Stegostoma tigrinum: one gene and its partners. The protein of the gene in region 1 binds, or shares a complex with, the protein of each later gene. Links are inferred from orthologs where the notes say so. Each region holds a gene or a part of one and is shown on either strand. Other genes may lie near its edges. The genes, in order: ahi1, tmem231, mks1 and b9d2.

Evidence for each region.
Region 2: ahi1 (region 1) and tmem231 share a complex: the UniProt entries of both Homo sapiens proteins name them as parts of the tectonic-like complex. The link is inferred for Stegostoma tigrinum from reciprocal best matches to the Homo sapiens genes AHI1 and TMEM231.
Region 3: ahi1 (region 1) and mks1 share a complex: the UniProt entries of both Homo sapiens proteins name them as parts of the tectonic-like complex. The link is inferred for Stegostoma tigrinum from reciprocal best matches to the Homo sapiens genes AHI1 and MKS1.
Region 4: ahi1 (region 1) and b9d2 share a complex: the UniProt entries of both Homo sapiens proteins name them as parts of the tectonic-like complex. The link is inferred for Stegostoma tigrinum from reciprocal best matches to the Homo sapiens genes AHI1 and B9D2.

The regions. Positions count from the first base shown.
Region 1 is NC_081357.1:43,904,899-43,912,535, reverse strand, and holds the start of ahi1 (jouberin), read left to right. Parts: upstream 1-4,620; 5' UTR 4,621-4,723; exon of another isoform or gene 4,724-4,821; intron 4,822-7,637. UniProt on the Homo sapiens protein: Involved in vesicle trafficking and required for ciliogenesis, formation of primary non-motile cilium, and recruitment of RAB8A to the basal body of primary cilium.
Region 2 is NC_081369.1:41,520,828-41,528,035, reverse strand, and holds the start of tmem231 (transmembrane protein 231), read left to right. Parts: upstream 1-4,205; 5' UTR 4,206-4,295; coding exon 4,296-4,434; intron 4,435-7,208. UniProt on the Homo sapiens protein: Transmembrane component of the tectonic-like complex, a complex localized at the transition zone of primary cilia and acting as a barrier that prevents diffusion of transmembrane proteins between the cilia and plasma membranes.
Region 3 is NC_081380.1:13,791,014-13,797,943, reverse strand, and holds the start of mks1 (Meckel syndrome type 1 protein), read left to right. Parts: upstream 1-3,929; 5' UTR 3,930-4,676; coding exon 4,677-4,750; intron 4,751-6,930. UniProt on the Homo sapiens protein: Component of the tectonic-like complex, a complex localized at the transition zone of primary cilia and acting as a barrier that prevents diffusion of transmembrane proteins between the cilia and plasma membranes.
Region 4 is NC_081392.1:8,436,326-8,444,062, forward strand, and holds the start of b9d2 (B9 domain-containing protein 2), read left to right. Parts: upstream 1-4,737; 5' UTR 4,738-4,984; intron 4,985-6,201; exon of another isoform or gene 6,202-6,205; coding exon 6,206-6,293; intron 6,294-7,737. UniProt on the Homo sapiens protein: Component of the tectonic-like complex, a complex localized at the transition zone of primary cilia and acting as a barrier that prevents diffusion of transmembrane proteins between the cilia and plasma membranes.

The DNA of each region.
Region 1 (7,637 bases):
CAAGGATCTGTATTGGGTTCTCAATTATTCATGTTATTTATTAATGACTTGGATAATGGAATAGAAAGTCACACATCCAAATTTGCTGACGACACAGTTAAAGGTGGCATTGCAGACAGTATTGATGTTAGCATAAAATTACAAAGGAATATTGATAAACTAAGTGAATGGGCCAAACTGTGGTATGGAGTTCATTATAAGCAAATGTAAGATTATTCATTTTGGACTGAAAAAGTATGGATCAGGGTACGTTCTGGATGGTAAGAAGTTAAGTATAGTTAAAGAGACTTGACGGGTTCAGATGCATTGATTTTTATAATGTCACAAACTGGTGCAAAAATTAATCAAGAAAGCTAAAGGAATGCTGGCCTTTATTGTCTTGAGGGGTACAGTAGAAGGATGTAGAAGTTATGTTGCAGTTATACAAACTCTGCTTAGGCCTCAGTTGGAGAGGTGTGAGTGGACCTGGGCATTACACTTTATGAAGGATATGTTGGCCTTGGAGGTAGTACAATGTAGGTTTACAAGAATGATACCTGGACGTCAGGAGTTTATTTACCAGGAATGATTATACAATTTATACCTGTCTTCTCCAGAATTTAGATGGTTAAGGGTTGATCTGATTGAAGTTTTCAAGCTATTAAACAGGAAAATACAGAGTAGATGTGCTGGATCGCGGCATGTGCCTAAGTGATTCTTTCAGATTCAGGTTAAGAGAAGGCTCAACAACAGCAATTTGCTTAAATACAAATGTTTATTAAATAATAAATTATTATAATAGTAGTAGTAAATGATTATAGCAGTGATAATAAATGGAAGCGAAGAAAAAAAGCAAAAAGTCTCAAGTTCCTCTGCCCTCTGGAGACCCCTCGATCAATGTCTGGTCTACAGGCTTAGGTTCATTCCTGGCACCATTTACGAAGCCGGTCTTATGTTAAGTCCATCAGCCATGGAACAAAACTTTCACACTCTCATACAGTATTACAAAACAATCAGGACAGAAAACAACAGATACAACAGACAAAACAGCTGGCTCATTCAGAAAACAAGTTTTTTTTAATTGTGCTGTCTGTGGCACTCATCCAAGGTCATGCAGCTTGTTGAATATCATCAACAATTTTAGTCTTTCAGCATATCCTATATAATCCACCCCAATGATATATGACAGCATATGTTAGAATTACAGATGCAGACACACATCAGCGACAGCCACACAAGAATGTACAATAAACACCTACACTAGAAGATTAAAGCTACAATGAAAATAACTAGCATCGATACAAAGAATAGAACGATGGGGTGTATCGTCAAATTGATCGCAGTTCCCTTTGGGGACCTACCTTAAAATATATACATGTAGAAACAATACACCAAGGGTTGTGTGCACGCGTACACGCGTACACACACACACACGATGTGCTGTCCAGTGGAAACAAGGGTTATGGGGATAAGGATACTGATTGTGGATGATCAGCCATGATCATAATGAATGGTGGTGCTGGCTCGAAGGGCCGAATGGCTACTCCAGCACCTATTGTCTATTGTCTAAAAGAACAACCAAGTGGTGCCACCTGGTTGAGGTGACCAGAATATCCTCTACATTCTTAGTTAGTTATTCTATTTACATAATTTGCTCTACAGTTCAGTATATTCCAGATTCAGGTTCTTCATTTGTGTTTTTTTTTCAATTTTCTATCCACAGACTCCTGCTTAACGTGTGTCTTCGCTTGTTGTTTTTTCCACATACACTAATTGCCCTAACATATTTCAATTTCCCCTACTGGTTTAGTCACAAGAACATCCCAACCAGACTCATCCACCTACCATTTCCCGGTGACTCTACATTTCCCCATGTCTAATCCACCTAATTTACACACCCCTGAACACTACAGGCAATTTAGCATGGCCAATCCACCTGACCTGCACGTCTTTGGACTGTGGGAGGAAACCCACACAGCTACAGGGAGAATGTCTGTGTGGAGTTGGCACAGTCACCTGAAGGTTGAGTCGAAAGTTAAAAGTTAAAAAGTTAAATTTTTACCAAACTTTACGAATCAAAATTTTGACTCAACATTGTGCAAATTTTGGCTTTACACAACCACTAATGGTTTCTTAAAAGGTCATTACATTAACCGTATATGCTCCACACAAATAAAGGCACCCAATGCACTTTCAAATCACCAGAGACTCCCAAAATGCTGACTCAACGTCAAATTATCTCCGGCTGTAAAGCTCCAGGAATCAAAAAGACACAAATTATGTGAGGCGACATTCAGCAACCAACGAAGGTGCATTCAAACTAGACCACGAAGAGTTAACACTTCTACAATGTTCAGTGCACAGTGCCCCAGTTATAACTGTCTCCCACACATTTGGGGGCCCTAAAAGGGAGCTGCACCGGTGCCAGACTGAATTGCTTCTAATAATGCAGTTCATGCCTCTTCTATATTCATAGTTTAGTTTTTATGGAAAATCTGGAAAAGGAGGAGCACAAGTGTTTGGTACGTAGAAATGGTAGGCAGGTTTGAAGCACATAAATTATGTGAGATGCAATCACCTTATTTCATAGCAGTAACATCAATTTGAAAAGAATCTGAAAGTTGAACTTGGACTGATTGCAAAGGACACAGATGTGTTACTTGACTGATCACATGAAGCAGCCAATCCAGATTGGAGGATTTGGGCTAATAAATATGTTAAGAGAATGGATATTTCTAAGCACATTTTGAACTGTTTCAGAATGGTATTAATGAGGTATGAGACTACTTTCCTTACTCTGTTTTTTTTTAGCACAGATATTTTGGGGGTGAAATGCTCTTCCACAGTAGCATTTAGCAATATTCATCCAGACTATGAGTTTTGCCAGATTTCACATGAGAATTGCTTGGCTTCCCCTAAGGAGAAACTGACAAACTTCACGGAAACCCAGGTTCAACAGACTAATCAGTGGCTGTTAAATAGATGCTGAAACCTTCAAAATGTATTCATCTATGTTGTACGGTCTTAAATCCATCACCTGGTTAACTGCGAAAGTTCCTGAAGAATAAGTAGCAAAGTGACCACTGCATTATTGCGATAGCAAGCATAAGCTGGCTTCTTGGTGTACAGCAGTGATTCCTCTAGGGAGGAGATGTAGACAGTCAATGCATATGATTTTTCAAATGTAAGATTTGTCAAAGCCATCATACCTGTTGGTGTCTGGTTTGAATGAGGAACTCACAGGTTCCTTCATACTTCTTTCCTTTTACCCTTACATCTGATGCAAGAGCTTCATTCTGCTGACCTGCCTGCTCTGTTCCTTCCGTTTTGTCAACTGCAGAGTGTGATTCCACCAGGACAGCAATCGGTAGGGAACCCCCTGGTTTTGCAACAAATGACAACACCTTCTGGTTTCCGATAACAAGGTGTAGAGCTGGATGAACACAGCAGGCCAAGCAGCATCAGAGGAGCAGGAAAACTGACATTTCAGGTCTACATCCTTCAGTCTCCAACCATTTTAACTCCCACTGCCAGGGTGACATGTCCATCCTGGGCCTCCTCCAGTGTCGCAATGACACCACCTGCAAACTGGAGGAGCAGTACCTCGTATTCTGCCTCGAGAGCCTACAGCCCATGGCCTAAATGTGGACTTAATCAATTTTAAAATCTCCCCAGACCTGCCTCATCCCATGACCAATGTTCCCACTCATCCCAGCCTCCATGACTTGACACAACCAGTCCATCTTCTCTCCCACATATCCATTCCTCCCACCTCACTGACCAATCCCTGCCACTGCCTGCTTACACTTACCTGTCACCATCCCCAACGCTCCTCTATTTATTTCTGAGCTCCTTTCACCCTCCCCCATTTCTGAAGAAGGGTCCTGACCCAAAAAGTTAGCTTTCCTGCTCCTCTAATGCTGCCTGGCCTGCTGTGTTCATCCAGCTCCACACTGTTGTCTCTGACTACAGCACGTGCAGTTCTTGCAGTCCTCTCAAAGGAGTCGCAGTGTAATCTATTTGGTGACAAAAGCAAAATAGAACAAGTGCTAGAAATCAGAAATTAAAGCAGAAACTTCTTAAAATACTCTAGTTCTGTGCAGCAAAAACATTCAATGGTTCCAGTGAATGTTTTATTATGAACATGCAATAAAACTTTTATTTACAAATACCATGCAGTTAAATCTACAGTCAGCAACCAACAATAAAACGATTAAAAAGCCAAATGTGGTAAACATTCATCATTCCTTACAACATCTGAAAAACTCATGCAACAAGAAACGGTGATGGAAAATAGAACAGTTCACAAACTGAAAGACACAACTAGAAAGGTTTGTTCCCATCCTCTATTGAAAGCAACATTTCCGGGTAGCAGTAAGACCAGTGAACTATTCAAGGAAAAAGTGCAGGATTTTAAAACTGTCATCAAAGACGCTTTAACAAGAATGTGGCCGCAAACTGAGACCTCCCCGAACTGGGGGGCTTTCCCAAATGAACTGACCCCTCGCTAACTCGGGCTTTACCCTAACCTGAGGTTTATTTCCCAGTTGGTTGAATGTGATTGCCTTTGGCGGCCGGTCCGGGCGCAACTTGAGCACGTGATTAGAGGAGGTGAGGCGAGATGATTGTGACGGAGCTGGTGCCGCGCCCCCTGGCAACAGTGGGAGGAGGAGTAGTGACGCTGGGAACGGACACCGCGGGCCGCTGATGCCGAACCGGTTGTAGCGTCACTTCCTACAGTCAGGTCAGTAACCGGCGATAACCCGCGTCTCCCCCATTGGTGCTTTCCGTCTCGGTGTAAGGCCGTCCTGCCGTTGCTAGGCCACGTCTCAAACAGTGGGGGTGAGTTTAATTTGGGGCCATTACGCCTCGCCTCTACCACCCCACTTCTCCGACCACTCCCGCACCATTTCACCCTCTAACCCCCATCTGCCCCCCTCTCTCCCTCCTATCTATCCCCCTTCCTCTGACACACTTGTTCTCCCTTGGATCACTGTCTGTGATCGTGTTCCCTCCCGGATCACTGCCTGGGATCTTGTTCTCCCTGGGATCATTCTCTGGCACCATGTTCTCTCCAGGATCACCGTTTGAGATTGTGTTCTCCTTGGGGTCACTCTCTAGTATCGTGTTTTCCCTGAGATTGCTATCTGGGATTGTGTTCTATCTGGGATCACTGAATTGTCCTGTTCTCCTTGAGATTGCTGTTTGCAGTCTTGTTCTGTCAGGGAACACTGGCAGGGATTGTGTTCACTCTGAGATTGTGTTCTCCCCAGGATCAATCTTTGGGATTGCGTTGTCCTTGGGATTTGTCTCTGGAATCTGTTTCTGGAATCATGTTCTCTCTGAGATTGTGTTCTTCACTGGGATCCTGTTCTCCCTGGGACCTGTTTCTGGAACGGTGCTCTCCGAGGGATCATTCTCTGAGATCTTGTTTTCCCTGAGACCACACTGTAGGATCTTGTTCTCTATGGGATCATGTTCTCTCCAGAATCGTCTGTCTGGGATCTTGTTCTCCCTGGATCACCTGTTGGATTTGTGTTCTGTCAGTGATTACTGTCTGGGATCATGGTCTTTCCAGGATCACTGTCTTCAGTCTTATTCCTAGACGTAATTCAGAAATTATTGTCTTCTGGAATTTTAAAGCAGTGGTAAAGAGATCTGTCAAAAATTAAGGAAGAACATAACTGGAGATGAACGAGACAAAGTCGACAATAAAAACTGGAACCTTCCCCAAACACCAATCAAGTAAGGGCTTCAGCGGACACATGTATAGTAACACCCAATCTTCAATCATACAAGTAGACCGAATTTGAAATCTATTTGTATGTATATTTCTCATTGTTTACGGGCACCATAGAGGGAATAAGTTCATGCTAATTTTTTTTAAAATTAGATTCCCTACGGTGTGGAAACAGGCCCTTTGGTCCAACAAGTCCACACCGCCCCTTGATATATCCCACCCAGACCCATCCCCCTATAACCCACACGCCCCTGAACACCATCGGCAATTTAGCATGGCCAATCCACCTGGCCTGCACATCTTTGGACTGTGGGAGGAAACCGGAGCACCTGGAGGAAACCCATGCAAACATAGGGAGAGCGTGCAAACTCCACACAGGCAGTTACCCGAGGTTGGAATCGAACTTGGGTCCCCTGGCACTGTGAGGCTGCAGTACTAAGCACTGAGCCACCAAGTCGAATTAGGAAAATCAGAATGGCTATTTTTATGGGATTAACTGAGAAATACCAGGGATATGTGAAAGGCAGGGCCAATACAACAAAGTAGTACAAGTATATAAAAATAGGATAAGGGCAGGAAAATAAATTAAACATCAGGGGAGTAACTTTGAGATGAAATAATTAATTTAGCAAGTAAATCAAAGTAAGTGTGTTTAAGCCATGGCTGCTTCGTTCAGTGAAGTGAAATGTGTCACCTTGGAAGTCCTGAACCCTACTACTGCCTTAGATGACCACGTGTGCAGCAAGTCTCCCAGCTGCAGAAACTCAAACTTAAGATTCAGAGCTTGAGTAATGGCTAGACATTGGTATGTTCTCAAGTGTGAGGGCTACATGGCTCACACATTTAGAGAGGTTGGCAAACTGCAGTTTACATGAATAACAGGAATGGACAACCACCAGACCGTCCAAGAGGAGAAGGCAGACAATCTCCTGGGGTACTGCCCACAAATCGGTTTTCTGTTTTGGAAACTGATGGGTGCTGGTCCTCAAGGAGATGTAGTCAGAGCCAAGCTTCTAGCACTGTATGTGGCTCAACTGTACATGAGTGGAGGAAGAAAACAGGAGTGATAATGAGAGACAATTTGTTATGTGTGGTAATAGATGGGCATTTCTATTGCTGTCAACGTGACTACAGGATGGTAAATTACCTCCTGATGCCAGGGTCAAAGATGTCACACAGCAGCTTCAGGGTATTATTCTGAGGGAGGGCGAACACCCGGAAGTTGTGGTCTGTGGTGCCAGTAACTTGGATAGGAAGGAGGATTGGCCCTTCAAACAAAATTTATGGAGCTGGGTCCTCAACTGCAGTTTTTTCTGGATTACTTTGATTACCCATATACGAGTGAATACAGAAAAAGGAGGATAATGCGTATGTGTAATTAGATAAATGGTGCAGGAAAGATGGCTTTAGATTCCCGGGACACAGGGACTTGCTGTGGAGGACATAGCAACTGTACAAGCTGGACTGATTGCAGCTGAGCAGATCTAGGACTGACTTCCTTGGGGGTGTTTTTCTGGTGCTTTTGGGAGAGCCTTAAACTAACTTGGCAGGGCTGTGAGTACCAAGGGAGCATAGTAGAAGAGAATACCAGGATTCATAGGGTACTAGTAGCACTAATACAGTGCATGCCAAATTAATCATGAATTTGGAATAAGGAAAAATGAAATGAAGTCCTAAACACGGTTAACATGAATATATCCAAGTACACAGGATAGAATACACGTGGTTTGGGTGGAAATATAATGAGGTGATAACTGAGACCTGGCTCAAGGAAGGGTAAGATAGAAAAAGAAAGAAAGGAGGGTAGAAGTATTTGTTAAGCAGGACATTGCAGTGATGGAAAAAGAGGATTTCTGAAAGGTTCAAGGACCCAGTCAATTTGGCTAGAGCTAAGGAGCTCAAGGTGTACAACTAGATT
Region 2 (7,208 bases), on another chromosome or scaffold:
CTCTTTGACCAACCTGTCTTGAGCCTAAACCCCATGCGCCATCAAATTGCACTATAAAAGAAGTTTGAGAACCAGAGAGAACATATTTCAAGTAATTAGCTAAAGACAGTCCCTTTGATATCCCTGGTGATATTCTTTATCTTGTCAAAAGTAAAGTTCCCAGTGGTGTGGAAATTGTTTATAAGTGGATGAAAAACTTTCAACTCAACTGGTTGACAATGTCATCTCCAGTCTCTCAGAAGACAATCTTCAATCCTTGCTTAATGCCTTCACGGAAGCTTACTGAAGAATTGGTTTCAGCCTCACCCTAAAGATAACTCAAATCTTTTATCACCTGTCGCAAGTCAAGTTCTTGTCCATCCATCCATTAAGAACAACAGAGAAATCCTCCCAAATGTGGAAGATTTCCCCCACCTGGGAAGATAGCTGTCATCTATGGCTGACATCAATGACATGGATGACCGTGACATCTGCGCTGATACTAAAACCCTTCTGTATAATGCAGTCATCCTTCTGACTGTTCTACTTGGCTCCAAAACTTCAACAATGTATAAACACCAACTCAAGGTCCTTGAGAAGTACTATCAATGCTGTTTGAGATAGATTCTCTGATCAGCTGGGAGGACAAGTGAACTAACATCAGCATCCATGAAGCAAGAACACCAGCATCAAGACCACGATGATCCAAAAACCATCTGTTTTGGACTGCCACTCGCTTAAGATGCCTGAGCTTTGACTGCCAGAGCAAATCATCTTTGCCCAGTTTGAGGAAGGCACTTGAGCAAGAAGAGGACAAAGGAAGCATTTCAAAGGCTCCCTGAAGACTTACCCCAAGAAATACATCATATATGTCAATGTATGGAAGGACCTTTGTTTAGAAGCAACTGACTTGGAGGAAGGTCCTATTTGAATGGGCACAATTCTTTGAGAACACCCATCAGCGGGAGGAAGTCTGGAAACTAACTAAAGAAAGAAGTGCCAGTGACCTCAAAGCCAAGGACCAATTCCATCACCTAAAAACATCTACCAAATGTGTGGTAGAACAGGAAGTTCTAGGATTGGATTTATTAGCTATGCAAGAATTCACAGGACCAATAAACAGCGACATGGAATTCCGTAAGTGAACAATTGTGATTGTTGGTGATTGATGAAATGACAACTTGTGGTGACTTGAAGACAATCTTTTACATGTAACTGGAGGTAAAGTTGTGTGAGCTGCCACAATGGTAAAGAGCTGGTTCAGTTGATGCATTCAAGCACAATTTAGATTGTTATAATGAAAAAGTACAGAGTCATAGAGCTGCAGTTTGGAAACTGACCCTTTGGTCCAACTCATCCATGCTGATCAGATATCCTAAATTAATCTGGTCCCATTTGCCTGCATTTGGCCTATATCCCTCTAAATGTTGTAATTGTACCAGCCTCCACCATTACCTCTGGCAGCTCATTTCCATATATGCACCACCCTCTGTGAGAAAAAAGTTGTCCCTTTTAAATCCTTTCCCTCTCACCTTAAACTTAAGCCCTCCAGTTTTAGATTCAACTATCCCGGGGAAAACACTGGCTACATTAAGCATATAAGTCCTGCCCTGATTTGCCTTTCCAAAATGCAGCACCTTACCTTTATCTAAATTAAATTCCATCTGCCACTCCTCAGGCCATTGGCCCATCTGATCAAGATCCTGCTGTAATCTGAGGTAACCTTATTCACTTTCCTCTACACCTCCAATTTTGGTGTCATCTGCAAACTTACTAACCCTACCAACTATCTTCACACCCAAATCATTTATATAAATGATGAAAAGCAATGGACCCAGCACTAATCCTTGTGGCACATCACTGGGACTCCAACTCTGAAAAGCAGCACTTTGCCACCACCCTCTGTAGTATACCTTTGAACCAGTTCTGTCTCCTAAGATGCTGCTTGGCCTGCTGTGTTCATCCAGCTCCACACTTTGTCAACTTCCAATTATCTTTGTATCCAAATGGTTCTGAAGAACAGTCACCGGACCCTGAAACGTTAACTCTGGTTTCTCCTCCACAGATGCTGCCAGACCTGTTGAGATTTTCCAGCAACTTTGTTTTTGTTCCTGTATCCAAATGGCTAGTTCTCCCTGTATTTCATGTGATCTAATCTTATTATCTGAAAAAGGAGGAACTGTACATGGAACAAGTGGGGATTAGCACTCGAGTGATTTGTTTTTTCAGAGAGCGAGCACAGACATTACGGTCTTAATTGCCTCCCTCAGCGCATGGACGAACCTACGATTCTGAGAACGATCAAGCAGAGTTCTGAATGATAAAATGTGAGGCTGGATGAACACAGCAGGCCCAGCAGCATTTCAGGAGCACAAAAGCTGACGTTTCGAGCCTAGACCCTTCATCAGAGAGGGGGATGGGGTGAGGGTTCTGGAATAAATAGGGAGAGAGGGGGAGGCGGACCGAAGATGGAGAGAAAAGAGGATAGGTGGAGAGGAGAGTATAGGTGGGGAGGTAGGGAGGGGATAGGTCAGTCCAGGGAAGACGGACAGGTCAAGGAGGTGGGATGAGGTTAGTAGGTAGGAGATGGAGGTGCGGCTTGGGGTGGGAGGAAGGGATGGGTGAGAGGAAGAACAGGTTAGGGAAGCAGAGACAGGTTGGACTGGTTTTGGGATGAGGTGGGGGGAGGGGACGAGCTGGGCTGGTTGTGTGGTGCAGTGGGGGGAGGGGACGAACTGGGCTGGTTTTGGGATGCGGTGGGGGGAGGGGACGAACTGGGGTGGTTTTGGGATGCGGTGGGGGAAGGGGAGATTTTGAAGCTGGTGAAGTCCACTTGATACCATTGGGCTGCAGGGTTCCCAAGCGGAATATGAGTTGCTGTTCCTGCAAACTTCGGGTGGCATCATTGTGGCAGTGCAGGAGGCCCATGATGGACATGTCATCTAAAGACTGGAAGGGGGAGTGGAAATGGTTTGCGACTGGGAGTGCAGTTGTTTATTGCGAACCGAGCGGAGGTGTTCTGCAAAGCGGACCCCAAGCCTCTGCTTGGTTTCCCCAATGTAGAGGAGGCCACACCGGGTACAATGGATGCAGTATACCACATTGGCAGATGTGCAGGTGAACCTCTGTTTAACATGGAAAGTCATCTTGGGGCCTGGGATAGGGGTGATGGAGGAGGTGTGGGGGCAAGCGTAGCATTTCCTGTGGTTGCAGGGGAAGGTGCCGGGTGTGGTGGGGTTGGAGGGCAGTGTGGAGCGAACAAGGGAGTCACGGAGAGAGTGTCTCTCCGGAAAGCAGACAGGGGTGGGGATGGAAAAATGTCTTGGGTGGTGGAGTCGGATTGTAGATGGCGGAAGTGTCGGAGGATGATGCGTTGTATCCGGAGGTTGGTGGGGTGGTGTGTGAGAACGAGGGGGATCCAATTTGGGCGGTTGTGGCGGGGGCGGGGTGTGACGGATGTGTTGCGGGAGACGCGGTCAAGGGCGTTCTCGACCACTGTGGGGGGGAATTTGCGGTCCTTGAAGGACCTCCGCCGCATCTGCTCCCACGATGAGGCATTCCACTCCCGCACATCCCAGATGTCCAAGTTCTTCAAGGGCCGCAACTTTCCCCCCACAGTGGCCCTTGACCGCGTCTCCCGCATTTCCTGCAACACATCCCAGCCCAGTTCGTCCCCTCCATCCACTGCATCCCAAAACCAGTCCAACCTATCTCTGCTTCCCTAACCTGTTCTTCCTCTCACCCATCCCTTCCTCCCACCCCAAGCTGCACCTCCATCTCCTACCTACTAACCTCATCCCACCTCCTTGACCTGTCCGTCTTCCCTGGACTGACTTATCCCCTCCCTACCTCCCCACCTACACTCTCTCCTCCTATCTTCTTTTCTCCATCTTTGGTCCGCCTCCCCCTCTCTCCCTATTTATTCCAGTTCCCTCCCCCCATCCCCCTCTCTGATGAAGGGTCTAGGCCCGAAACGTCAGCTTTTGTGCTCCTGAGATGCTGCTTGGCCTGCTGTGTTCATCCAGCCTCACATTTTATTATCAAGGATTCTCCAGCATCTGCAGTTCCCATTATCACAGAGTTCTGAATGAGATTTGCGGGTCGGGGTGAGCGGGGGGGGGGGAACGACATCGCCCTCCAGCTCTGATTGGATGGATCTCGGCGAAGGCCGGACCCTGTCGTCCTGTGATTGGGCGGTACCGCTATCAGTCGCGATAGCCCCGCCTCTCACCGCGCGGCCTGACGACAGTTGCCCTGGGAAGCTGACGCCAAACTTGAATCGAAGTGGTGGTTTCTCCAGGAACACTCGGCTACCAATGGCCATCTACGAAGTTTATTCGCACCCGTCTTTAATTCGTTACAAAACAAGCATTTTCACCAAAGCTACGTTGTTCTTATTGATAGTCGTGGCGCTGACGTACATCCCGCCGCTTTTGGTTGCCTTCAGGAGTCATGGTAAGAGATTTAATTCAGTCTGCTGACAGACCATTGGCCTACTTAAATACTTTCTTAGATATGTTCGAATTAGAAATCTGAGTGATGTGGTTTTTATTGTTGTTTCTACGGTTTGGTGTAAATGAAGCTAATTGTATGACGTATTATGTTTGTGAGGGAAATAGTACGATTTATGGAACCTTTGGTGGGACCATTACTGGAGAATTTTGTGTAATTTTGATCTTTTTAGCAAAGAAAGTAAATATTTGCTTTAGGGGGTAATTAGACTGATTCCCGGGATGAGGGGTTTTCCTAGAAGAATAATTTATAGGTTGTGTCTGTGTTAACTAGAATTTAAATGAATGAGATCTCACTAAAGTATACAAAATCCTAAAGAGATATGATGCGGTCAGTGCAGGGAAGATGATTTCCCCTTGCTGGCAAGTTTGGAGTTCAAAATCACCACCTCAGAATAGAGGTTTGAATATTTGAAGGACTGATTTGAAGTGAAATTTCATTGCAGTCAAAGGTTTTAACGTTTGGTTGTTTGGTGGGGAGTGGGGAGTGAGGAGTGAATGATAGATGGAGATGGAGATGGAAATTGAGGGAAAAATAGATAGGCAGACAGAAGTATGGGTAAAGGTCAGCCTGGGAGAATCAATTGCTGCTAATGGAGACTGTTAGTGGCTGAAAGTGGATTGTATATGGTGGCAGTTCATGTGATAAAGTAGAAAATAAGATGCTGTTCTTCGAGCTTGCTCTGAGCTTTGCTGGAGCAAGCCTGAGACATCGGTTTGGGAATGTGGTGGTGTTAAAATGGCAATAGATTTTGGTTATTAATACATATGGGGAAACTGCAGGAAAGTGGAATAGGAATGGAAGATTCCCCATAAATGATTGAGCTACTCTCGCTCCCTTTTATATGTTCTGTTTGGTATTTTTTCATGAATGGGTAGAGGCTTGTAAATAGTTGTCTGAATTTGAACGCATTTTGCTTCTGCATTGGAAACCATTTTACAGTTTTGTAAAATTCTATCATTGGATCTGTACATTACTAGCAAGGGCAGCATTTATTGTCTTTGAACTGGGTGACTTGCTAGCCTTTTTCAGTGGGCAATTATGAGTGAAACACATCAGGGATTCGCATGTAGACCAAACTAGGTAAGGATGCCAGATTTCTTTTCTTGAAGAACATTCGTGAACTAGATTGACTTTTACAAAGTCAATGATAGTTTCATGGTCACCCCAAGACCAGCTTTTAATTCTAGATTCATGAATTCAACTTAAACGCCACCAAGTGCCAATGGTAGGATTTAAAATGAGGTCAAGAGAGCATTAGCTTGAGTCTCTGGTCCACTGCCATGACCACTATGCCACTAGATACCCTAAAAAGTAAAATAAATGATCTCCTGAAATTGAGATTGTTGTCTTCAAAATTGACATTCAGAATGTCTGAATGTGGGAGTGATAGGCTATGTTTAGTGAAATTGAGATGGATATGGATAGGCAAAATATCTCTTCTTGTCCTTCTTTACCGGTCTGCATCTTTTGTCTGGTTGACCAAGCCATTCCCCAGTAACATCACTCCATGCCATCCAGTTGTGGGATTGCACTTGCCTGGTTACAATTATAGCTATCTAATTATAGCCAGCAAATCACTTGCATGACTTCCTGTTCCCAGTCTCCTAATATTCATAACACAGTGTGGACCTGGAGGAACATAGCAGGCCAGCCAGCATCAGAGGAGTAGGAAAGTTGACGTTTTGCGTCAAGGCCCTTCTTCAGATTTCTGAAGAAAGCTCCCGACCTGAAACATCAGCTTTTCTGCTCTGACTCCAGCATTTCTGCTCTGACTCCAGCATCAGCAGTTCTTACTATCTCCTTTTTTCATTTCTTTTATCCATGTGCTGCCACTTGGTGACACATTTGAAAAGGGTGTGAGATTCTGCATGTTTGCTTGCTGAACCCAGTTCTAGCCCACTACTATCTGTCATGACCCCTTCATGCTGTCTAAAAATTCCCAGACTGCTTGGTTGATATAAAGTACATGTTGAAGAGAAATTTCCTCCAACTAATATTGGGAAGAACAAAGCTGCTGTAATTAATTGTTGCTGTCAGGTAGCACCTGTTCAGCAATGATCTGCTCACTGATGTTCACTTTGGATTCTGCCAAGGCCACTCAGCTCCTGATGTCATTACAATCTTAATTCAGATATGAACAAAGAACTGGACTTAAAGTGAATTGAGAGTGACTGCCTTTCACATGAAGGCAACATTCAACTCAGTAAGGCATCAAGGAGCCTGAATAAAACTGGGTACAGTGGGAACTGGAGAGCAAGCTCTTCACTGAATGGAGTCATACATGAAAAGGTTGTAATTGTTAGAGGCCAAACATCTCATTCCCGGGACTAGTGTCCTAATCTCAAACACCTTCACTGTGTCATCAGTGACCTTCTGTCCATCACAGGGTTAAAAGTGAGCGTGCAATCATCAGTGAACAAATGTCCAGAATTATTCATAATTTGTGCCCATATGCAGCATTGCAGACTAGAACTAATAGGTGGTAAGTAACAATCTCACAGTACAAGTGGCAAGCAATGACCATCTCCAATAGGACAGAATTTAACATTCGGTGTCTATTCATTAATGTAATGTGAAAGCCACCAGCTAGGGCGGCATTCATTACCTATCCGTAGTTGCCCTTGAGAAAGTAGTGATGAGCTGCTTTTGTTACTGCTGCAGTTCTTTTGATAGGCACACCCACAATACTATTTGGGAGATGTTTTCAGGATTCC
Region 3 (6,930 bases), on another chromosome or scaffold:
CTGTTTCCATCCAGCAATTGAAGTTGTAAGTACCCCAAATTTCAGTTACATATTGCATAGTGTTGTTTTGGCTAATTCAGTATTTTGTCCTTGTGTATTGCATCTGTATTCCACTTCACTACTTCTTAATCCTAACATTATAACTTTTAGCACATGCCCCAGTGAATAATTTGTATGTTTTAGCTTCATTTTTGGGGGGGGGATCTTGAAAGTGTTAAAGACATGTCCTTTATATGAAAAAGGCAAGTATGTTTACAGTATGGCCTCTTACCGTATCTCATCCACAGACCCCATCCCACCAATTCCCCAGCCCAGTGGAGATTATGTACCTAGCTTCTTGCTCCTTTTATATAGTGGATCTTTTAACCACTGGGTTCTCTTTCAGAGTTTCTGAAGAACAGAGATTTCCTAATTACAATATGGAGACACCTATCTTGTTGATACAGATTTTGCTTTTCATGGAAGTGAAGCCAGGACAATGTGAAACCTATTAAAAGATTGTAATTTCTGAAGAAAAATGCATAAGAGTTATATTTTTGAATACAAAGAGCTAAATAGACTGATCAATTTGTACATTGAATATTTTTCTTTGCTATTCCACTTAGCTTGCTCTATTTGAAGGTAACTGTCATTTTTGTTACTGTTTGCTTTTAGTCCAGGACATGTGTAAAGTTTGCTTTGTATTTATGGCATTTGTGCAATGGAATGGAAACCAGCCAGAATGTTCTGGAGCATTCAAACAGGCTCACTTTTTTTTCAAAATAAGGTTTGAATTATAGTAAATTAATTTTCCTATGATATGATGGACAATTCATTTTTGTGTTGTACTGGAACATGTATCGTTAAGTTAAATACTGATAGTTCTGATTTGTTTGGAAAAGTAGTTGAGTTTCAATCTCAGACAACACAAATGTTGATGAGGGATTCTAAATGTTGTCTGTATAAAAAGCCTTCATTAGTATTAGTTCAGAGAGGCAATAGGCATTGCTTAAGGAAAGTCCATGCACTCAGTGTATGATACATCTTTTTGCATTGCAGCCAATATTAATAATTAATTTGTGAATCACTTGAACTCTGTTTTAAATGATTCAAAAATGTAATTAAATTCCTTTCATAATTTAAGAAAAACTTTGAACTTTATTGCAAGTGCTATTTCCGGCTTTTTTTTGCCTCAAGTAAATTTGCCCAGCCATGGAGAAAGAATGTTAATAATTTGTCATGCTTTTGCAGTATGACGCTCCAAAGAAATGATTTGAAGGGTATATATACATTGTCAGGTGGAATATGGTGCTTAGACTGCACTCTATTCATAGTGGCAGACTTTAGAAACACCACTTATAGAGCATTCAGTTTTACAAAATGACCAATTTGATTCTATTGGATATCCCAAATTCTAAACAATAGTTTTTCAGTTAGATGTTTATATTTTCTTTTAAAATTTTCAAATGGTAAGCACCAGCCTTGGCAATTGGTATAAGCACATGTGTATATTTTTAAAGTATTTGTGTATTATGGCCATTTGCAAACTCCACTGTTTAGGATAAAGCACTTACTGAAAGTTATTTTCTGATATTTAGTGAAGCACTATAAAATGAGTGCTGATTCTCTCCTATTGCCTTTGCTGTGTTATTGACTTCAAAATCTGTCTCCTGTTCATGAATATGGAGACAGAAACAAATCACTGGCGTGCCTCAGTGATAGAAATTTGCTAAAGATGCAAACCATGATGTTTAAAAATACTTTTTTTACCTCGGAAGTGTTGCCTTTCATATTGTAAAACCTAAATGACTATTTAGATTGCTTTTTGAAATGCTTGTGAAAATAAAGTGTTGCAATGCATTAAAAAGTGCATTATTATACTTTGACTTCTTATATTCTAGGTGATTATAATACATCTGGTAAATTTAAACTTGCGATTTGTAATGTGATATGCCACCCCACATAGACACAATAGGCAAGGTTAATGCAGTTTGGTGCAATGTACCTGAGATTTCAAAAGACCAAAGTGGATTCCTGACTAAATTGAGGTTAGGAACTGAAGGAGCAGACTGACAACCTAGTGTTCCACAGAATGCTGTTTGCAACTATTATTATCTATTATTTATATAAATGTTTACCACCAAATTAGAGGTTTTGTTTATACTGATAAAATATAACAAATGGTAACGTGCAGATTGGGCATGTAAGTGACAAATGATGGGTGTAAGGTGCTGTGGTTTGGTAGGAAAAATAAGGAAGTTATCTTGCAAAATAAGTTAATGTGGTATAAATTCACAAATCATGAAAATTAACTGTGCTGGTTAACAAAGCTCTAAAAATGCAAATAAAACATTCAGGTTCAGAGCTTATATTTTTGTATTTAATTAACTTATTAGTGTTAGATTTGTATTGAAATTTAGACCACATATTGGAATACTGGGCAAATATCTGGTTTCCATTATTGCAAAAGGAGTGTAAAGTAACTTTTGGAGATGTATTCTTGTAGGATTTATTTTGCATTAGAACTGAAAGGTTACAACTACCATGGAAGACTAAACAAGCTTTTCTCTGGATTCAGAAGTGATTGGATTGAGGCCTAAGATTTTAAAGGAGCTTAATGGGGTGGAGAAGATATTTTCACTTGTGGAATAATCCAAAATACAGGGCCATAAATACAACATAACCATTCATAAATATAGCGTAAAACTAGAGTAATTTGACAACACCAAACTGCAAATCTTCTAAGCTTGTGACCTCTATGAAGTCCTGTATAGTAGTGAGATCAGGACTACTTATGGTAGGCAGGGTTAAAAGCTGAGGAACTGCTGTCCCAATTGTATCCTCAGCATCTCTTGGCAAGACAAAAATCACTGACTCTGAGATCCTGGTTTGTGATAGATATACACATTACCAAAAATCTGTAGTGACTTGGTAATGATGTTGGATAGATGATGACTTATGTGGTAAACTGGACATTGAGTCTAATCTCAATAAATATGGAGCTCGAAAAGCACAGCATCTGAGGAGCAGGGAAGTCAATGTTTCCGGTTAAAACCCTTCCAGCATCTGCAGTCTTTACTATCTCCAAGTCACTGTATGAACATCTGCTGGATGTCCATACCTCTGCAACAACATACTTACAAATGAAAACAGCAAACATTGATGTAGGCAATTAGGAGACAGCCACTGAGTGCTGAGGATGATTATTCAGAGGGAAAGCAGAAGAGGCGAGAAGAAATGGGAAGATCAGCTAGCCTAGAAGTGGGCCCAGGGAAAACCAAGTTTTTAAAGGCAGAGACTACAGTTTAAATTTTTCGACAAGATCTGTATCTTGGGTTGTGGATGAAGTTGTAGACATGCTTGCTGAACTGGTGGGCTGGTTGCAAATGTATCATCACCCTGCTAGATAATATCGTCAGTGCACCTCTGGTGAAGTGTTGGTTTTCTGTCTGGCTTGTTATTCATATGTCTCAGTTTGTTGGGGTGTTTGGTACCACTTCCAGCTGTGTTTTTCAGTGAATTAGACCCTGTGTACAAACTAATGTGTTTGTTGATGGAGTTTGGTTAGAATACCAGGCTTCCAGGAATTCCCTGGTGTGTTGCTGTTTGGCTTGAGCGATTATGGACGAGCCTACTGTGCTGGAGTAATACTTCTGCATCACAGTAAGTGATGTTTAACAGAGTTGACCACCAAAGTGCAAGCAACCGCCTTGTGAGTTGGGAGGCTGACAAACTAATAAATTTAGTAAGGAATTTTGGGGAAAATTCTTTAATCAATGTGATAATGTTAAAACAACATTCAGGACATACTCAGCAGGTTTGGCAGTATCTTTGGAGAAATAAATAAAGCTAATAAAGTGCAATGGCTCATTTTAAGCAATCGTGTGGAGTTAAACTGCAATCACACATGATCTTAGTAAATGACAGAGCAGGTTCAAGAGTCCAGGTGGCCTACTCCTCCAATTATGTATGTTGACATATGGGAGACAGGTTAACTGATGTTAAACTGATGAGTTGAAATGAAGTAAGGGGGGGGGGATGCATTTGATCGAGATAAAGACTTAAAATGATTGGGCTGTAAATACTATGAAGTACAAGTGTGATTCTATACAAGCAATGATTGCTACCAAATAGCACCCAACAGCCATGGGTATGGTTGAATTTGCCCTGGGTACTGTTGGAACACTGGACCCACTGAAGAGAAAATATTCTCCTTTAGTTTGCTAAATTTCCTTTTCTGTAATGTGAACGCTAATTGCTGGTGCCCTTGTAGAAGGGCATCTTATGTGATTGGGCCAAACCCAAAAAGAGTGAACGATTCTGGGGAGACAGACTGTGCAAGTTACGGCAGTTTGAGTTGGTGGTCGACGAGGAGAAGGGTCTGCAGAGGTAACAAGGCGTAGAGCTGGATGAACGGAGCAGGTCAAGCGACATCAGAGGAGCAGGAAAGCTGACGTTTCGGGTCTGGACCCTTTTTCAGATAATCATCTGCAGAGGGACAGTGATGGAAATGTCAGCTTGAATTATCGGGACTTACAGCGTTTGTACAGTTGATAACCGGGAGACGTGAGAGCCACGACCGCTGCTGCCTGAGCCGGGCTGGGGCACAGCCCGCAGCTGGAGCTGACGCGGGGATCCGCTCCGACACGAGCTGCAGGAGGCCTGAGGCCTGCTCCGTTACCAAGGAAACCGCGGCTATGGCGGAGTGCGGCAGTGAGCGGGTGGAGGCGGTTTACCGGACCCTCGACCCGGTGAAAAATCTCCGAATCCGGTATGGGCGGGGCGGGATGAAGGGTTTTTTATTATTTCCCCCTTGGAGTGGAGTGGAATGAGAATAGCATATCCTGGGGGCAGGAGTAGGAGTGAGACAAACGCAGGGTCAGGGCCCATTGTGAGAATAATTAATTATTTTGTTGTAAATGACATTAATGTAGGGACGGGGAATGATTGTGTTTAATGTCTGAGGACTGTGTAGAGTGAGGTGGTAGGTCATATTAATGTGGGTTGGAGCATTCAGCTGTGGCATATATAGGATAAAAGAATAGAAAATGTTTTGCTGTTTCAGTATGGGAAGGCGATGTCCTAAAAGGAGGAAGGGGCATTCGTTAACTCTGATTTTGCTTTCTTTACAAATGCTGCCAGACCTGCTGAGCTTTTCCAGCAACTTCTGTTATTCGTCCTAAAAATGGTATTATCACTAGACTGTTAATCCAGAAACACAGCTGGTGTCCTTTAAAGATAACAAAATGTGAGGCTGGATGAACACAGCAGGCCAAGCAGCATCTCAGGAGCACAAAAGCTGACGTTTCGGGCCTAGACCCTTCATCAGAGAGGGGATGGGGGGAGGGAACTGGAATAAATAGGGAGAGAGGGGGAGGCGGACCGAAGATGGAGAGTAAAGAAGATAGGTGGAGAGAGTATAGGTAGGGAGGGGATAGGTCAGTCCAGGGAAGACGGACAGGTCAAGGAGGTGGGATGAGGTGAGTAGGTAGATGGGGGTGCGGCTTGGGGTGGGAGGAAGGGATGGGTGAGAGGAAGAACTGGTTAGGGAGGCAGAGACAGGTTGGACTGGTTTTGGGATGCAGTGGGTGGGGGGGAAGAGCTGGGCTGGTTGTGTGGTGCAGTGGGGGGAGGGGATGAACTGGGCTGGTTTAGGGATGCAGTAGGGGAAGGGGAGATTTTGAAACTGGTGAAGTCCACATTGATACCATATGGCTGCAGGGTTCCCAGGTGGAATATGAGTTGCTGTTCCTGCAACCTTCGGGTGGCATCATTGTGGCAGTGCAGGAGGCCCATGATGGACATGTCATCTAGAGAATGGGAGGGGGAGTGGAAATGGTTTGCGACTGGGAGGTGCAGTTGTTTGTTGCGAACTGAGCGGAGGTGTTCTGCAAAGCGGTCCCCAAGCCTCCGCTTGGTTTCCCCAATGTAGAGGAAGCCGCACCGGGTACAGTGGATTCAGTATACCACATTGGCAGATGTACAGGTGACTCTCTGCTTAATGTGGAATGTCATCTTGGGGCCTGGGATGGGGGTGAGGGAGGAGGTGTGGGGACAAGTGTAGCATTTCCTGCGGTTGCAGGGGAAGGTGCCGGGTGTGGTGGGGTTGGAGGGCAGTGTGGAGCGAACAAGGGAGTCACGGAGAGAGTGGTCTCTCTGGAAAGCAGACAGGGGAGGGGATGGAAAAATGTCTTGGGTGGTGGGGTCGGATTGTAAATGGCGGAAGTGTTGGAGGATCCTTGTGACTCCCTTGTTCGCTCCACACTGCCCTCCAACCCCACCACACCCGGCACCTTCCCCTGCAACCGCAGGAAATGCTACACTTGTCCCCACACCTCCTCCCTCACCCCCATCCCAGGCCCCAAGATGACATTCCACATTAAGCAGAGGTTCACCTGCACATCTGCCAATGTGGTATACTGCATCCACTGTACCCGGTGCGGCTTATTCTACATTGGGGAAACCAAGCGGAGGCTTGGGGACCGCTTTGCAGAACACCTCCGCTCAGTTCGCAACAAACAACTGCACCTCCCAGTCGCAAACCATTTCCACTCCCCCTCCCATTCTCTAGATGACATGTCCATCATGGGCCTCCTGCACTGCCACAATGATGCCACCCGAAGGTTGCAGGAACAGCAACTCATATTCTGCCTGGGAACCCTGCAGCCATATGGTATCAATGTGGACTTCACCAGTTTCAAAATCTCCCCTTCCCCTACTGCATCCCTAAACCAGCCCAGTTCGTCCCCTCCCCCCACTGCACCACACAACCAGCCCAGCTCTTCCCCCCCACCCACTGCATCCCAAAACCAGTCCAACCTGTCTCTGCCTCCCTAACCGGTTCTTCCTCTCACCCATCCCTTCCTCCCACACCAAGCCGCACCCCCAGCTGCCTACTAACCTCATCCCACCTCCTTGACCTGTCCGTCTTCCCTGGACTGACCTATCCCC
Region 4 (7,737 bases), on another chromosome or scaffold:
AGTGCCCAGTGCATTTCCCTACCACACCACAGATGACACTTCCAAAATTATTTCATTGGCTGTAAAGCATATTGGGATGTCCAGAGATCAAGGAAGATGCTCTATAATTGCATGTTCTTAGTTTATAATGTACTCCTCTCATCCCTGCTAGCATTCTTGTAATCTGTTTCACACCGGAAGCCTTGATGTCCTTTAAAGTATTTTCGGATCAGATCATGATGCGAAAAGGGTTGGCAGAAGTTTTGAAAATAGTTTGGACACGGAGGAGAAGCAGGAAGAGGGTTACAGGTGAGGGCAGAGGGAACAGGGAGAATGGGGTTGGGTAGACGGACGGGTTAAATAGAGGGATGTAGGAGAATCACAGAATCCCAACAGTGCAGAAAGAAGTCGTTCAGCCTGCATCGACTCTCCAAACAACATAGCACCCAGATGCAGCCCTTCTCCCATAACCCTGCATTAACAACAGCTAATCGCTGAGCCTACACATCCTGGGACACTATGGCCAATCCAGCTAATCTGCACGTTTGGACCGTGGGAGGAAATTGGAACACTGAGTAAAAACACACACAGACACGGAGTGGGCGGGTATGTAAACTCCAGACAGTCACCTGAAGGTGGGAACTGAACCCGCGTCCGTGGAACTATAAGGCAGCAGAACCAACCACCCCAAAAGACAGGGAGGAAGAATGGGGGAGGTGGAGAGGGGATGTTGGGATGTGAGACGAGGAGTGGGGGCGGTGAGGAATAAAAAGTGGAAGGGGGAACATTGGGGTGTGAGAGGAGGAGCGGGGACGGTGAAGGATAAAGGGTGGCGGGGGAATGTTGGGGTGTGAAAGGAGGAGCGGGGGTGGTGAACAATAAAAGGTGGAGGGGGAATGTTGGGGTGTGAGAGGAGGAGCGAGGGCAGTGAAGGATAAAGGGTGGAGCAGGAATGTTTGGGTGTGAGAGGAGCAGCGGGGGCGGTGAAGGATAAAGGGTGGAGCGGGATGTTTGGGTGTGAGAGGAGCAGCGGGGGCGGTGAAGGATAAAGGATGGAGCGGGAATGTTGGGGTGTGAGAGGAGCAGCGGGGGTGGTGAAGGATAAAAGGTGAAGAGTGAACGTTGTGGTGAGAGAGGAGGAGCGAGGGTGCTGAAGGATAAAGGGTGGAGCAGGAATGTTGGGGTGACAGAGGAGGAGCAGGGCGGTGAAGGATCAAGGCTGGAGTGGGAATGTTGGGGTGTGAGAGGAGGAGCGGGGGCGGTGAAGGATAAAGAGTTGAGCAGGAATGTTGGGTGTGAGAGGAGGTGTGGGGGCAGTGAAGGATAAAGAGTTGAGCAGGAATGTTGGGGTGCGAGAGGAGGAGTGGGGGTGGTGGATGGGGAATGTAGGGCTGTGAGAGGAGGAACGGGGATGGTGAAGGATAAAAGGTGGAGCGGGAATGTTGCGGTGTGAGAGAAGGAGTGGGGGCGGTGAAAGATAAAAGGTGGAAAGGGGATTGTTGGGGAGTGAGAGGAGGAGCGGGTCAGTGAAGGATAAAGGGTGCTGGAATGTTTGGAGTGAAAGGAGGAATGGGGCCGGTGAAAGATAAAGGGTGGAGCGGGAATGCTGGGGTGTGAGAGGAGGTGTGGGGGCGCTGAAGGATAAAAGGTGGAAAGGGGAATGTTGGGGAGTGAGAGGAGCAGCGGGGGCGGTGAAGGATAAAAGGTGAAGAGTGAACGTTGTGGTGAGAGAGGAGGAGCAGGGGTGCTGAAGGATAAAGGGTGGAGCAGGAATGTTGGGGTGTGAGAGGAGGAGTGGGGGTGCTGAAGGATACAGGGTGGAGCAGGAATGTTGGGGTGTGAGAGGAGGAGTGGGGGTGCTGAAGGATAAAGGGTGGAGCAGGAATGTTGGAGTGCGAGAGGAGGAGTCCGGGTGGTGAAGGATAAAGAGTTGAGCAGGAATGTTGGGGTGCGAGAGGAGGAGTGGGGGTGGTGGATGGGGAATGTAGGGCTGTGAGAGGAGGAGCGGGGATGGTGAAGGATAAAAGGTGGAGTGGGAATGTTGCTGTGTGAGAGAAGGAGCGGGGGTGGTGAAAGATAAAAGGTGGAAAGGGGAATGTTGGGGAGTAAGAGGAGGAGCGGGTCGGTGAAGGATAAAGGGTGCTGGAATGTTTGGAGTGAAAGGAGGAATGGGGCCGGTGAAAGATAAAGGGTGGAACGGGAATGCTGGGGTGTGAGAGTAGGTGTGGGGGCGCTGAAGGATAAAAGGTGGAAAGGGGAATGTTGGGGAGTGAGAGGAGGAGCGGGGACAGTGAAGGATAAAGGGTGGAGCGGGAATGTTTGGGTGTGAGAGGAGGTGTGGGGGCGCTGAAGGATAAAGAGTGGAGCGGGAATGTTGGGCTGTGAGAGGAGGAACGGGGACGGTGAAGGATATAAGGTGGAGTGGGAATGTTGGCGTGAGAGAGGAGGAGCGGGGGCAGTGGATGGGGAATGTTGGGGTGTGAGAGGAGGAGCAGGGGCGGTGGAGGGGGAATGTTGGGGTGTGAGAGGAGGAGCGGGGGCGGTGGAGGGGGAATGTTGGGGTGTGAGAGGAGGAGCAGGGGTGGTGAAGGATAAAGGCTGGAGCGGGAATGTTTGAGTGTGAGAGGAGGAGTGGGGGCAGTGAAGGATAAAGAGTTGAGCAGGAATGTCGGGATGCGAGAGGAGGAGTGGGGGTGGTGGATGGGGAATGTAGGGCTGTGAGAGGAGGAGCGGGGATGGTGAAGGATAAAAGGTGGAGCGGGAATGTTGGGGTGTGAGAGAAGGAGCGCGGGCGCTGAAGGATAAAGAGTGGAGCGGGAATGTTGGGGTGTGAGAGGAGGAGCAGAGGCAGTGAAGCACAGAGGATGAAGGGGGATTGTTGGGGTGTGAGAGGAGGAGCGGGGGCCGTGAAGGATAAAGGGTGGAGTGGGAATGTTAGGGTGACAGAGGAGGAGCGGAGGCGGTGAAGGTTAAAAGGCGGAGGGGGTATGTTGGGGTGTGAGAGGAGGAGCAGGGGCGCTGAAGGATAAAGGCTGGAGCGGGAATGTTGGGGTGTGAGAGGAGGAGTGGGGGTGGTGAAGGATAAAGGGTGGAGCGGGAATGTTGGGGTGTGAGAGGAGGAGCGGGGGCGGTGAAGGATAAAGGCTGGAGCGGGAATGTTTGAGTGTGAGAGGAGGAGTGGGGGCGGTGAAGGATAAAGAGTGGAGGGGGAATGTTTGAGTGTGAGAGGAGGAGTGGGGGCGGTGAAGGATAAAGAGTGGAGGGGGAATGTTGGGGTCTGAGAGGAGAGGGGGTGGTGAAGGATTAAAGGTGGAGGAGGAATGTTGGGGTGTGACAGGAGGAGCGGGGGCAGTGAAGGACAAAAGGTGGAACGGGAATGTTGGGCTGTGAGAGGATGAGTGGGGGCGGTGGAGGGGGAATGTTGGGGTTTTTGAGGAGGAGAGGGGGCATGTTGGGGGTGAGAGGAGTGGGGGCGGTGGAGGGTGAGTGTTGGGAGTGAGAGGAGGTGTGGCGGCGGTGGATGGGAAGTGTTGGGGGGTGTGAGGAGGTTTGGGGGCGGTGGAGGGGGAATGTTGGGGGGTGAGAGGAGAGGGGGCGGTGGAGGCGGAGTGTTGGGGGGTGAGAGTAGGAGAGGGGGTGGTCGTGGGGGAATGAGAGGAGGTGTGCGGGCAGTGGATGGGGAGTATTGGGGTTTGAGAGGAGGTGTGGGGCAGTGGAGCGGAAATGCTGGGGGGTTAGAGGAGGAGTGGGGGTGGTGGAGGGGGAGTATTGGGGTTTGAGAGGAAGTGTGGGGCAGTGGAATGGGACTGTTGGGAGGTGAGAGGAGGTGTGGGGGCGGTGGAGGGGAAATGCCGGAGGGTGAGCGGGGGCGGTGGAGGGGTTATGTTGGGGAGTGAGAGGAGGTGTGGGGGCGGTGGATGGGGAGTGTTGGGATGAGAGAGGACAGGGGTGATTGAGGGGGAGTGTTGGGGGTGAGAGGATAGGTCAGTGCAGGGGGGATGTTGGGGGGTGATAGGAGGAGAGGGGGCGTTGGAGGGGAAATGTTTGGGGGTGAGAGGAGAGGGGACGGTGGAGGGGGAGTGTTGGGGGTGAGAGGATAGGTCGGTGGAGGGGGAGTGTTGGGGGGTGAGAGGGGGCATTGGAGGGGGAATGTTGGGGGTGAGAGGAGGGGTCGGTGGAGGGGGAGTATTGGGGGGTGAGGAGAGGGGGTGGTGGAGGGGGAATGTTGGGGGGTGGCGAGAGGTGTGGGGGCGGTGGAGGGGGAATGTTGGGGGGTGAGAGGAGGTTTGGGGGCGGTGGAGGGGGTACGTTGGGAGGTGTGGGGGCGGTGGAGGGTGAATGTTGGGGGGTGAGAGGAGGTTTGGGGGCGGTGGAGGGGGTACGTTGGGAGGTGTGGGGGCGGTGGAGGGTGAATGTTGGGGGGTGAGAGGAGGTTTGGGGGCGGTGGAGGGGGTACGTTGGGAGGTGTGGGGGCGGTGGAGGGTGAATGTTGGGGGGTGAGAGGAGGTTTGGGGGCGGTGGAGGGGGTACGTTGGGGGGTGAGAGGAGGTTTGGGGGCGGTGGAGGGGGTACGTTGGGGGGTGAGAGGAGGTTTGGGGGCGGTGGAGGGGGTACGTTGGGGGGTGAGAGGAGGTTTGGGGGCGGTGGAGGGGGAATGTTGAAAAGCTCTGGAATGGGGGTGGGTTTTCAGCCGATGCTTGACCTCGCCCCGCCCCATACATATCCAATTGGCTGAATGCCGTTGCGTTCCAGCCAATAGGCGAGCACAATACTTGGTTGCCAAGAGCTGAGGCATCGATGGCGGTAGCGGAGAAATAGTTAGCGAATAAGAAGACTGGGAGAGGAGGAGAGAGCGAAAGAGAGAGATAGATCGAGACTACGGGCAAGAGATAAAGAATTAAGGAAGACGAAGGGAACGGGGACATTTCACGGATGTCACGCGAAACGCAGTGCCCCTCTTCTTGATGCTGATTGGTTGATCCGTCGAGTGGCTACGTTCCGATTGGTGGGTCAGCATGTCAATCATGGTTAGGACCGGGCCTACATCTGGCAGGAGTCTGTTTAAAATAACCAGAATAACTAAATTAACAAGAACAGCTAATATAAAACATCCAGCAAGATCACTGGATTCAAATGTTAACTGTTTCTCTGCCCACCGATTCTTCGAGACCTGCTGAGTTTCTTTTCTTCACTCACTACTCTCCATCAGAAAACGATATGGGCAACAGTTTGGGGTTAATCGCAGAGTAAATCGGCCTTTACTTATTAAACTGAAGCCTCAACACTGTGTCAATCAAACATTCCCAGGTCAGGGACAGCATTGAAACAATGGATTGTATTGATTACAAAAGTAGAATTTGCTTGTCAAGCTCAGCAGATCTGGCTGCATCTGTGGAGAGAAGCCAGAGTTAACGTTTCGAGTTGAGTGGCCCATCCTAAGAACTGATTGCATTGATTATTTCATGTAGTTCTTGGGGCTGTAAGGATCAAAGGGTATGAGGAGAAAGCAGGAACACGGGACTGAGATGGATCATCGGCCAGGATCATATTGAATGATGGAGCAAGTTTGAAAGGCCATATGGCCTACTCCTCTCTTGTTATGTTTTTGTTGACCTTATTTGTGCTGAAGCACTTGTAAACAAAAATCAGTTTGCTGTATGGCATTGCCTCTACTCCCGGCATTTCAAGGAATCAAAAGAAACATAAGGAAAATTTTTTTTTCATGCTGAGTGTCGGGAATGCACTACGGTTTCGTGGAGGCAAACTCACTTAAGGCTTTGGAATTGGATAATTATTTGAAAAGCTTTGTATGCCTATGTGAGAATGGGACATGCTAAGTTGCTGTTGGAAAGAGATGGCACTGACACAAATGACCTCCTATGTCAACCATATTCAAAATACTTTATAAAGCATATTTGTAGTTTGAGGAACTGAGAGTTCCTGAGCTTTGCCTGCTCTGAAAACCTTGGAGTAGGAATGAAAGAATTGAAAGGAATGAAGGAATTTGAGTTAACCCTCAACAATACCTTTTAGAGTTTGCAATTTTAAAAATCATTTTTGACAATTTTTATCTGTGGGTATGTTTCCCTGGTTCGTTGGGTGCTTGACCTGAAATCTGTTTAGCCAGAAGAATGGAAGTAATGTTTGATACCAGGGAGTGTGATTGCTCTCTGTTTGGCTGAGGGTGCAGTTTGTACATAGCCTAATATTCTTTTTTTGCAGGAAGATGGCTGAGCTGCATATTATCGGACAGATTGTTGGAGCAAGTGGTTTCCCGCATAACAGCCTGTTCTGTAAATGGGGGCTGCAGACAGGTGAGACTCTTGCTGATGTGTGTGTTGGGAGAGGAATGGAGGATGTTGAGAAACATGAGTATCATGTGCCACATTTAATTTCTTCTACGTTTATCTGCCAAGGCCAGAATTAGTTTCCCATCCCCAATTGCCCTTGACTGAGGGGCTTGCTCGGACCATTTTGCAAGGCTGTTAAGAGTTAAATATGTTGTTGTCGGTCTGGAAACACATGTAGGCCAGATGGGTAAGGATAACAGATTTTCTTCCCCAAAAAATGATAGTTTCATAATCACCATCATGGGTTATTTAGATTTACTGTCCAAATTTATTAATGGAATTTAAATTCCACCAGCTGCTGTGATGGGATCGAAACCACGTCCCCAAAGTGTGTATGGGGATACTTTGGATCGCAAGTTACAACATTACTGTTGTTAGCACCTCCCTGCTAAACTGCATTTCCTGGTAGTACAGCAGGGGTGCTGGCATCTGCTCTGCTTGATTCCTGTTAGAGACGTGGACTTAAAATGGTTTATAGTTCAGACCAAGTAAGGATTCTGTTCAATAAGGGACATTATAGAGAATCACTGGGCTTGTATGACCATGCATAATAGTAGTCATGGTCACTGTTTTTGACACTAGCTTTATATTTCCAGATTTATTAGCTCTAGTCTGTTTAAATTTTCCACAAGCAGATTTTTTTTTTAAATTTCCAATCAACACATCTCAGAAACATATTTTATCTTCATTAAATTGTCTTTCATAGCCTTGTGATGTCCATGTGTAAATTAGAAAAATGTCTTTGAGAAAATAATGTTCTGTATTAGGTTATAGGAGTACTTTTGAGAGATGTGGTAAGCTTGAGATTGTTGACTTGCTCACCAAGCCAACTTGAGCTGACTTCTTTTTGTTCAGACGTTTTGTCACCATGCTAGGTGACATCATCAGTGGAGTCACCGATGAAGCGATGTTATTCTACTCCACTTGGAATTTAAACTGTCTGGTCCGTTGCTCATCGTGACAAAAAGTATGAACAAAAACAAGTCAGCTCAGTGAGCAAGTCAACAACCTCATCCACAACCCAAGCTACAGATATTTGCCAAAACTTTAAATATGGTGAGAGATAGTAAGAACTGCCATTGCTGGAGTCTGAGATAACACAGTGTGGAGCTGGAGGAACCCAGCAGGCCAGGCAGCATCAGGGGAGCAGGAGAACTGACGTTTTGGATTGGAATCCTTCTTCAGATTTGAAGAAGGATCCCAACCCAAAATGTCAGCTGTCCTGCTGTTCTGATGCTGCCTGGCCTGCTGTGTTCCTCCAGCTCCACACTGTGTTATCTTTAAATATGGTAAGCTTGCTTGAGTGGAACCATCTCAGTTTTTCCTTGTCATGTCAGGTGCTTGCTAAACTAATTCATCATGATCAACTGGAAAGATTAGTCTACAATTCTGTTACTGTTGTATCATT